Arabidopsis thaliana: one gene and its partner. The protein of the gene in region 1 interacts with the protein of each later gene in a pairwise test. Each region holds a gene or a part of one and is shown in the gene's direction. Other genes may lie near its edges.

Region 1 (4,761 bases):
CTTTTCTGAAAATAATTGAAGATTTGTGTAGTCCGTTCGATTTGTTTACAAAAGGAAGCTATGATAGAGCGAAATTAACACGAAAATGAAAATGCTTTGTTCATCGCCTAAAAGGCAGCTTAAAGGATTTGTCTATCCTACGAAATTGTCACGAGCTTTCACGAACCAAGACTGTTCTGTGGGTTAAACAATATTTTTATCGAGAAAACGTATTTTGTATGTTTATGATCTGCGTTAAATATCTTATCAATTTTTTATTACCTTGTCCGTCAAAATATCCAAAAAATAATTTAGAAATTCGGTTTATAAAAATGTTGTTTTCAAAGTTTAATTGTTAGAATTGATAATCTCATAATGATCATTTCGAAAAACCAAAAAAATTATCACATTGTATGAAGGATTTTGACAAAATTTTATTCGGAAAATCACTCTCAACAACATAAATAAACAAAAAAAGTTTGTTTTATATAAAAAAAATCAGTATAAATAGGTAAATGGGATTACTTTACACACTAAAAAGTACCAATTTGAGTTAATACTAAGATTTTGGGTTGGACATTAATACATCAAAGTCACCGATTCTCATTTGAACAACTTCACTTCTCCGATCAACGATCAATAAACGTAACAATCACTCCGATGTTCCTAAAACACCAAAATGATAAAGCGTTAGCTCTCGAGATGAGAGAACTTAGTTATGAATTGTTTTTGGGTTTTTAGATTTTTACAAAAAATTAGTAGTCAGATTAGTAGTCGGAAAATCACTCTCAACAACATAAATAAACAAAAAAAGTTTGTTTTATATAAAAAAAATCAGTAGTCAGATTACTTTACACGCAGTCAGATTAGTAGTCGGAAAATCACTCTCAACAACATAAATAAACAAAAAAAGTTTGTTTTATATAAAAAAAATCAGTAGTCAGATTACTTTACACGCAGTCAGATTAGTAGTCGGAAAATCACTCTCAACAACATAAATAAACAAAAAAAGTTTGTTTTATATAAAAAAAATCAGTATAAATAGGTAAATGGGATTACTTTACACACTAAAAAGTACCAATTTGAGTTAATACTAAGATTTTGGGTTGGACATTAATACATCAAAGTCACCGATTCTCATTTGAACAACTTCACTTCTCCGATCAACGATCAATAAACGTAACAATCACTCCGATGTTCCTAAAACACCAAAATGATAAAGCGTTAGCTCTCGAGATGAGAGAACTTAGTTATGAATTGTTTTTGGGTTTTTAGATTTTTACAAAAAATTAGTAGTCAGATTAGTAGTCGGAAAATCACTCTCAACAACATAAATAAACAAAAAAAGTTTGTTTTATATAAAAAAAATCAGTAGTCAGATTACTTTACACGCAGTCAGATTAGTAGTCGGAAAATCACTCTCAACAACATAAATAAACAAAAAAAGTTTGTTTTATATAAAAAAAATCAGTATAAATAGGTAAATGGGATTACTTTACACACTAAAAAGTACCAATTTGAGTTAATACTAAGATTTTGGGTTGGACATTAATACATCAAAGTCACCGATTCTCATTTGAACAACTTCACTTCTCCGATCAACGATCAATAAACGTAACAATCACTCCGATGTTCCTAAAACACCAAAATGATAAAGCGTTAGCTCTCGAGATGAGAGAACTTAGTTATGAATTGTTTTTGGGTTTTTAGATTTTTACAAATGATTCTTGATGATGATGGAAATAATCTGCTCATGACTCTTAGTCTCTTATAGCTTCTAACGGCCTTCTCACATCTGCCCGTTATTAGCCTCCATGCGTCATTTCTAAATCTTTTTTATTGGTCACTTGATTCCACACTTGCCAACTCACACCTGCTGTGGTTCTGCAACAGACATGACTGGACCGGACTAAATAAGGTCAAACCGTATCGGGTTTGGTACACACGTGGCCGATCATCATCAAAGGGCTTACCAATATTACGATGGACTCGACCACAGCTGATAGAAGTTCCGATATTACAAAAACAGAAAGACAGAAGGGTTTACCTATGATTAATGTCTGAAAAATTTGATATTTGAAGCGAATCAACAACAACAGTCGGGTTCGTGAAAAAAAAAGATTTGATCGGCTAAACTTGGTCGGTATGATTCTCATCTATCTGGTTGAAATTCTTCAAATTGTTGCTATTGTTGTGTGATTTTCCCCTTTTTCTTTGAACTTTGGATCCGTGTGAAATCAATTCTGGCGATTGGGATTGGTATCACTGTATCAGTAATATCAGATTTTCTTCGAATTTCTTGGAAGTAGTTGAGCTTTGTCGAATTCAAACCTTCTTCAAAAAAGAAAAGAATAGAAGAATGAGAAGTTTTCTCAAATTTTTGGAAAATAATTATTTTTGTCACAGTTAGTTAGCGAATGGAGAAGTAGAAAAATCAGATATTTAGTGATACTTTCTTGGGGATTCTTTTGATGTTTAATTGAAGATTGGCTCACTGATTTTATCTTTGAAGGTCTTAGTAAACGTTAATAGCTTGACGTTATCATTAGAAACTCAAAAAACTTAAGTCTCTCTCTAATTATTAGCTTTCAGGTTTATCGTGGAAGGACTTGTCAATGGCAGACGTACCTGGATACCTGCGCACTTGTTTGGATATGGGGAAGATAGCTTTCTTAGCAATCCTTGTATCTACAGGGATTGTGTTGCAGATTCTGGTATCCCCCAAGAGATTCTTTCAAGTTTTGATCCTGCCTGTTTATGCTTCTCCTGCCAATAGTAGATTCATACTTGTGTTTAAACCCTTTGTTGCTAATTTTGTTCCAGGCTTGTGCTCTGTTCAATAACTGGTGGCCAATGCTAAGTGGTGAGTTGTTTCGCTCGACCTCCAATATCTCTTTGTTGGTTCGATCTTTAGTCTTGCAAACTGCATTTTATATCGATGAAAGTAGTCTGTTTTAAATCTTGTTTGGTTACATAAAAAGTGTCAGGGAACTTGGAAAAACCATTATTATATCAATGGTGATGGATTTTAAACTCTTTCTTGCGGTTAATCAGAATCTGATATTGCTTTGCAGTTATAATGTATGTGCTCCTCCCAATGCCTTTGCTCTTCTTTGGTGGATCAGACAGTACATCTCTATTCAACGAGTCAGATAATAGGTAAGCAATTTATATACAGGCCTCCATTGTTTGTTTAGGTTTGCATTTGCATTTACGTTACATTCCAAGTGAACCCACAACTACAATTATCGACTTTCTAAGTCTAGGTATATCAAAGAAACTCGCTGAGCTTACATGAACATTTTCTTTTATGCAGTTGGATCAATGCAGCCAAGTTCTTGACTGGTGCATCAGCAGTTGGAAGCGTCGCGATACCATCGATTCTAAAACACGCCGGACTCATCGGTTGGGGCGCATTAGCCCTTGATCTCTCATCCTACGTTGTCTTCCTCGTGGCTATTTTGGGTTACATTTGCATAGGAGATGCCAGTGACAACTATTACAGCTACATTTAAAAAGACACACACAAATTCATCATCATTTGTTTAAACCTCAACAAAGTCTCAGCCTTTTATCACTTCCCCGTTCGATTGATGCTTCGAAACGAAAACATCTTGTTTCTATGGAATGACTCACTGATTGGATTTTCACAAGTTTAAGAGTTTGTGTGTCAAGTGTATGTATGAATGATTTTTTTTTTGGGTGGTTTTGTTACGTTTTGATGTATAGAACATATTTATTATTTGGTGGAATATATATAAATTTTCTTTACAAAAGCATATTGAAAAACTGAGTCTTTTAGATAAAGAAGCTGTGAAAAGTGTTTGAATGCGAGCTCTCTGTGTAAAGAAAGTTTGTGGCTTTCTCTCAAAATTATCTCTCAGATCTTCAATATCTTGTCGTCGATACTATGGAGATAAGATACCGAATTACGGAAGCTATCGTCGAGGTTTCTCTAATGAAGAAGCTCTTATACTTCGTCGTTTATCTGAGGGAGGTCTTGTACATGCACGCCACTTGCTCGACAAAATTCCTCAGAGAGGAAGTATCAACCGTGTTGTTTACTGGACTTCGCTTCTTAGTAAGTACGCGAAAACTGGATACTTGGATGAAGCAAGGGTTTTGTTTGAAGTAATGCCTGAGAGGAATATCGTTACTTGTAATGCGATGTTGACGGGTTATGTTAAATGTAGGAGAATGAATGAGGCTTGGACATTGTTTAGGGAAATGCCGAAGAATGTTGTTTCTTGGACTGTGATGCTTACTGCGCTATGTGACGACGGAAGGAGTGAAGATGCAGTTGAGTTGTTCGATGAAATGCCTGAGAGAAATGTGGTTTCGTGGAACACTTTGGTAACGGGTTTGATTAGGAATGGTGATATGGAGAAGGCAAAACAGGTGTTTGATGCTATGCCTAGTAGAGATGTTGTGTCGTGGAACGCTATGATTAAAGGGTATATTGAGAATGATGGGATGGAGGAAGCGAAACTATTGTTTGGGGATATGAGTGAGAAGAATGTAGTTACTTGGACGAGTATGGTATATGGTTATTGTAGGTATGGAGATGTTCGTGAAGCTTATAGATTGTTCTGTGAAATGCCGGAGAGAAATATCGTTTCTTGGACCGCTATGATTAGTGGGTTTGCTTGGAATGAGTTGTATAGAGAAGCGTTGATGCTTTTTCTTGAAATGAAGAAGGATGTTGATGCAGTATCACCAAATGGTGAGACTCTCATTTCTCTTGCTTATGCTTGTGGTGGTCTTGGTGTTGAATTTCGTCGT
Region 2 (5,367 bases), 2.3 Mb from region 1:
TTTTGCAGGAACAAAGAGAGGTGTCAATGGATTATCAGAAATGGCTCACTAAGCTTTTGCACTATGAATTTGACATTCTATACAAACTTGGGGTTGATAACAAGGCGGCTGATGGGTTATCTAGAATGGTACAACCAACTGGGTCATTCTCGTCAATGTTGTTAATGGCGTTTACAGTGCCCACAGTTCTCCAGTTGCATGATCTCTATGAAGAAATAGATTCTAATGCTCATCTGCAACACTTGGTTAAAGAATGTCTATCAGCTAAACAAGGGACTAGTGCCTATACTGTGAAAGAAGGCAGATTATGGAAGAAACAGAGATTGATCATTCCTAAAGACTCAAAGTTCTTACCACTCATACTTGCTGAATATCATAGTGGCCTGTTGGGTGGTCATTCGGGTGTGTTGAAGACAATGAAACGTATTCAACAATCATTTCATTGGGAAGGTATGATGAAGGATATTCAGAAATTTGTTGCTAAGTGTGAAATGTGTCAACGACAGAAATACTCCACCTTATCTCCGGCTGGGTTGTTACAACCTTTACCAATTCCAACGCAGGTTTGGGAAGACATTTCCTTGGACTTTGTTGAAGGGCTGCCTGGTTCTCACGGAAAAAAATGTCATTTTGGTGGTGGTAGACAGATTAAGCAAATATGGTCATTTCATTGGTCTCAAACATCCTTTCAATGCAGTTGATGTGGCTAGAATTTTTATTCACGAGGTAGTGAAGCTGCACGGGTTCCCTGCATCGATAGTTTCTGATAGGGATAACACGTTTTTGAGTTCCTTTTGGAAAGACTGCTTCAAACTATCAGGCACTAAGTTGAAATACAGCACTGCTTTCCATCCGCAAACAGATGGCCAGACAGAGGTGTTGAATCGCACATTGGAGACTTATTTGCGATGCTTTGCTTCAGCTCATCCTAAGACTTGGTTCCAATACTTACCTAGGGCTGAATTGTGGTATAACTCTTCTTTTCATACAACTATCAAAACAACACCTTTTAAGGTCTTGTATGGCAGAGATCCTCCACCAATTATGCGTTTTGAAGCTAATTCTACTAAGAATTGTGAGTTAGAAGGGTTACTCAAGCAGAGGGATTTGATGTTGGCCGATATTAAAGAGCATTTGGTGAATGCACAGCAGTTAATGAAAAATAACGATGATAAACATAGAAGAGAAGTTGAGTTTGATACACGGAATAGGGTGTTCTTGAAGCTAAGACCATATCGTCAAAATTCTGTGACAAAGAGAGTGTGTCAGAAGTTGGCAGCGAAGTATTTTGGTCCGTTTGAGATCATGGAACGCATTGGGAAAGTTGCTTATAGGCTGAAACTTCCAGAGGGTTCTAAAATACACCTTGTTTTTCATGTGTCTCAGTTGAAACAGGTTTTGGGTGACCACCATCAAGTCATTCCATTACCGGAAGTGTTGACTGCAGATAATGAGTTTGTGGTTGTGCCTGAAGCTGTGCTGGAGACTCGTTACAATGAGGATGGACTCTTAGAAGCGTTGGTACATTGGCAAGGTCTTCCGGTTCATGAGGATACATGGGAGATAGCCAAGGACTTGAAGAAACAGTTTCCAGGTTTAGCGCTTCAGGACAAGCTGCATGTTGAAGGGGGGGGGGGGGAGGGGGTATTGATAAGCCCTTAATAGTGTATACAAGGAGGAAGAGGCGTGAAGCACGTGCGAATGAAGATGGTGCTGAGGAGCACGTGCGCTGAAGAAGAAGTCACACGTGTGAAGTGTATATATTGAGACTTAGCTTTCTTTAGAAGATTTATGCATTTTGTTTGTAACTGCCTGTGACGTATGTGTCTGGGTTTGTGAGAGTAATGATCTAGATTTGTGTTTTAGAGCTCTCTGTATCGAACAAATTGTATTGACTCTTTCAGATAATAAGTTTTACAGTTTTCTTGTTATCAGAAGACCTGCAATTTCTAGATTAATTTTCATCAATTTTTTCTCCTTTTAATATTATTATAAAATATTATATATCTTTATTTGCGTGATATGGAGAATATGATAGATTAGCTATGTGTTCTGGTGAATCGATTCTGAGATTAGCTACCAGAACAAATAGTAAAACAACATCGTTTGCAAAGTGTTTTTTCAAATCACGCAAATAAAGTTACATAGCCACAGATGCAGGGTCCGATTCTGGTAGCTATATGTTTTTTGTATTATTTATTTTAATACAAAAACGATGTTGTTTTACTATTTGACAGAAAATGTTATTGTTGACTTTATACGTTAAATTGATCTGTTAGTTGATTATCTAATATCTTTTATTTGGCAAAATCGAAAAAAATTAATAATTTACTTTGATGATTTTATCATTACAGGTAAAGTTGATGCTTTGTTTCGACACTTTTGGCATAATAATTTTAATGACATTTTTTCGGTATAAAAACTATAATAATTTAACAATATCAACAATAAAGTTTTTATTTATCTATCTATCCAATTGGAGACGAATCATATCGAGCGATGGATTTGGCAGAACTGTGGGCGATTTTCGGACCCGGATTCTCCGGCGCCGTTTTCGGAACCGGGTGGTGGTTTTGGGTCGACGCCGTCGTTTGCAGTTCCATCCAAGTTCCCTTCGTCCATTACCTTCCCGGTAAATATATCTAACTCTCGATAATTTATCAATTAGGGTTTCCGAATTTTGAGCGATTTTGGTCCGTTGGATTTGGGGATTTCGCAGGCATATTCGCTTCTCTCGGAGCTTTGATGTTCAATTGCGTCAGAAAAGAAGACATTGATTACTCTCCTTACGACGAAGGCGAGTGGAGGTTAGTTTTTCAAATTGATCTGAGTCAACATAAGAGCTTGGTTACTTCTTGTTTAAATCTGTAATTCTGTGGAAAGTAGAAGGTAGTTGAGATAAGTGTACAAATTTTAGCTGATTTTTGTGACTGATCCATTTAGTTTGAAGTATTTGAGTGATCATTGCTTCTATAAGTGTTGAAGTATTCATGATTTGTGTTTTATGGATTTGGATTGAAGCTTATTTATAGCGTATGTCGTTGAATTTGTTTCATTCGCTCTGCTTCTGATTCTGTTTTTGATCAAGATAAGAGTTAAGAGCTTGGTTACTTCGTGTTTCTAATCTGTATTTTTTGTGTAAACTAGAAGATACTTGAGAGATCTTGTGTGTTTCATTTATGTGAAATCAAGTTTTCGCTGAGATTTGCGGTTAGTTTAAACTGTTTCTGATTTGTGTATTTATGTATTTGGATTCTTGGCTACAGATTGAAGCTATGGCTTTTTCATAGCGTATGTCGTAGCGTTTGTTTCCCTAGCTGTTTATGTTGGCTTGCTGATACAGTTATTTAATCAAGGATAAGATTTAAGAGCTTGGTTACTAAGTGTTTCTAATCTGTATTTCTGTGTAAACTAGAAGATACTTGAGAAATCTTGTGTGTTTATAACCCTCATTATCTGAAATCAAGTTTTCGCTGACATTTGCGGTTAGTTTCAACTGTTTCTGATTTGTGTTTTTATGTATTTGGATTCTTGGCTACAGATTGAAGCTGTGGCTTTTCATAGCGTATGTCGTAGCATTTGTTTCCTTAGCTGCTTCTGTTGGCTTGCTGATTCAAGATTCGGTTGTGAAGACTGGGCCTTCAACTTGGACTGGTGTGGCTGGTGTCTTTCAATGTGTATTTGTATTGATAAGGTAAAGCTATTCTATGCACTCTTCTGGTTGTGCATTTCTTGAAACACTAAACACTGCTTTTTAGATTGGGAAATTGAACACAAATACTCCTACAAAATTACCCAAACTTGTACAAATAGATTTAGTGATTCTTACAATTTTAGTCATAGTCCTTTGGATTCTAACACTTCCATTCTTAACTAATGTGGCTGTCTTCTTTTCGCATCTGGACTAAAACTTTTCGTTAGAATCATCTTTCATAATCACAATAGATTTTGTACTGGTAACAGTAACTTCCAAACCTAGCAAATGTGATTTGAATTGCAATCAGTGAAGCATCCTAACCTTTTTGTTTTCGTATACTGCATATCATCTTATACTAATCTATTTGTATATATCTCTGGTGTCTGGTCACTGACCACAATTTTTTTGACAGTGGGCTAATGTATTGGACATCGCACTCAGAGTAGCGCACAGGCACATACTTCATCTCCGACTCAGATTCATACTGTGACAACTTACAAGTTCCTCTCGTTTCTCTACTATGTAAATTCCTGTGTCTTGTCTTGTCACCTTGGCATTGTGTGCGAGATTCCTCTGTTGCATCAGTGTGTGTTTCTGTTAAAACTTTGTGTGAATGTTATTGAAAATACTCCAAATCAATCAGTTGTCCAAAGAGAACGCAAATAGGCAAACCTTTTAAATTACCTAGAAAAGAAAACTCAAAATCATGTGATCAGCAAGACGAGGTACATGCTCAATGAGATAAGTTCGCAGGCCGGCATGCTAACACGTTGGGCTTAGTGGGTAGACTTGGACACATTATTTCTGCCGGCAGTCTTAGCAGACCAGCCTGTCGCAGTCTTACAAATATAAATGCCTATTGCGGATTGGCCTGTTTGGCACCTCTATTGGGTTTATCCAATGTTTTGTGTTGATGAAGAAACTCTTTCGCAATTATATATTCTCCTAAGAGCGAACTCTTGCTCATCAAACATTAGAGACAAGAGAAAAAGACAAAAAGAGGAACACGTGTGTGAGAGCTGAGCCATTTTTTTTTCAGACCAAAGAAAGATCTACAAAGTCTGAAGAGGGCAGGACACTCATATGGCAACTCAAAGCCTCATCAGCTTTATTTGCACTATTTGCAAATCATCAAAACAAACAAACAAAAACCCCTCCCTGCCTTTCTCCTCTCCCATTGCCAAAGTAGTAGCTAAGCTTTTCTCAGGAACAAAAAGACCAAAAGAAGAAAAATATATTAAAAAAGAAATTAGAAACTATCTTTCCAAAAACCAGTACTTTCTTCAGTTTTGTAAAGTTGGGTTCAGGAGTCTTAAGCTACATCCTCTCTTGCTTCATGTATCATGGATAGTCTCTCCGGAAATAACGGCCTCAGCTCCTTGTACTGATCAAACAAAACAAAGAACATAACCATTATTAATATTTCTGAGTTATAATATGAGAGAGAGAGAGAGAGAGACTGGGGCTGTTATGTCTATTTACCTGTTCCAAAAAGGAATCTATCTCCTCCTCTGTGAGATATTCTTCACCATTGTTTTCAACCCAGCCGAGTGATCTAAGGAACTGTGCCTCTTCCTCATCTGGAGTGTCAGTTGCTTCAAAGCCACTAGTATGAGAAGCTACCTGGACACTGTCAGTCACTTCGACGCCACTTGTTGCCTGTGAACTTG

What was found. Proteins that work in one complex are often made in the same cells at the same time.
Region 2: the proteins of AT1G32410 (region 1) and AT1G36980 interact in a two-hybrid assay, tested with the Arabidopsis thaliana proteins (one large-scale study listed by BioGRID).

The regions. Positions count from the first base shown.
Region 1 is NC_003070.9:11,691,804-11,696,564, forward strand, and holds AT1G32410 (Vacuolar protein sorting 55 (VPS55) family protein), read left to right. Parts: upstream 1-1,995; 5' UTR 1,996-2,122; intron 2,123-2,564; 5' UTR 2,565-2,594; coding exon 2,595-2,693; intron 2,694-2,802; coding exon 2,803-2,842; intron 2,843-3,053; coding exon 3,054-3,138; intron 3,139-3,295; coding exon 3,296-3,494; 3' UTR 3,495-3,772; downstream 3,773-4,761. Other genes in the region: AT1G32415 (pentatricopeptide (PPR) repeat-containing protein), read left to right, coding at 3,808-4,761. UniProt on the Arabidopsis thaliana protein: Involved in endosomal protein transport.
Region 2 is NC_003070.9:14,022,585-14,027,951, forward strand, and holds AT1G36980 (transmembrane 50A-like protein), read left to right. Parts: upstream 1-2,049; 5' UTR 2,050-2,172; intron 2,173-2,354; 5' UTR 2,355-2,499; coding exon 2,500-2,632; intron 2,633-2,719; coding exon 2,720-2,807; intron 2,808-3,541; coding exon 3,542-3,694; intron 3,695-4,109; coding exon 4,110-4,143; 3' UTR 4,144-4,367; downstream 4,368-5,367. Other genes in the region: AT1G36990 (C-jun-amino-terminal kinase-interacting protein), read right to left, coding at 5,010-5,081, 5,180-5,367.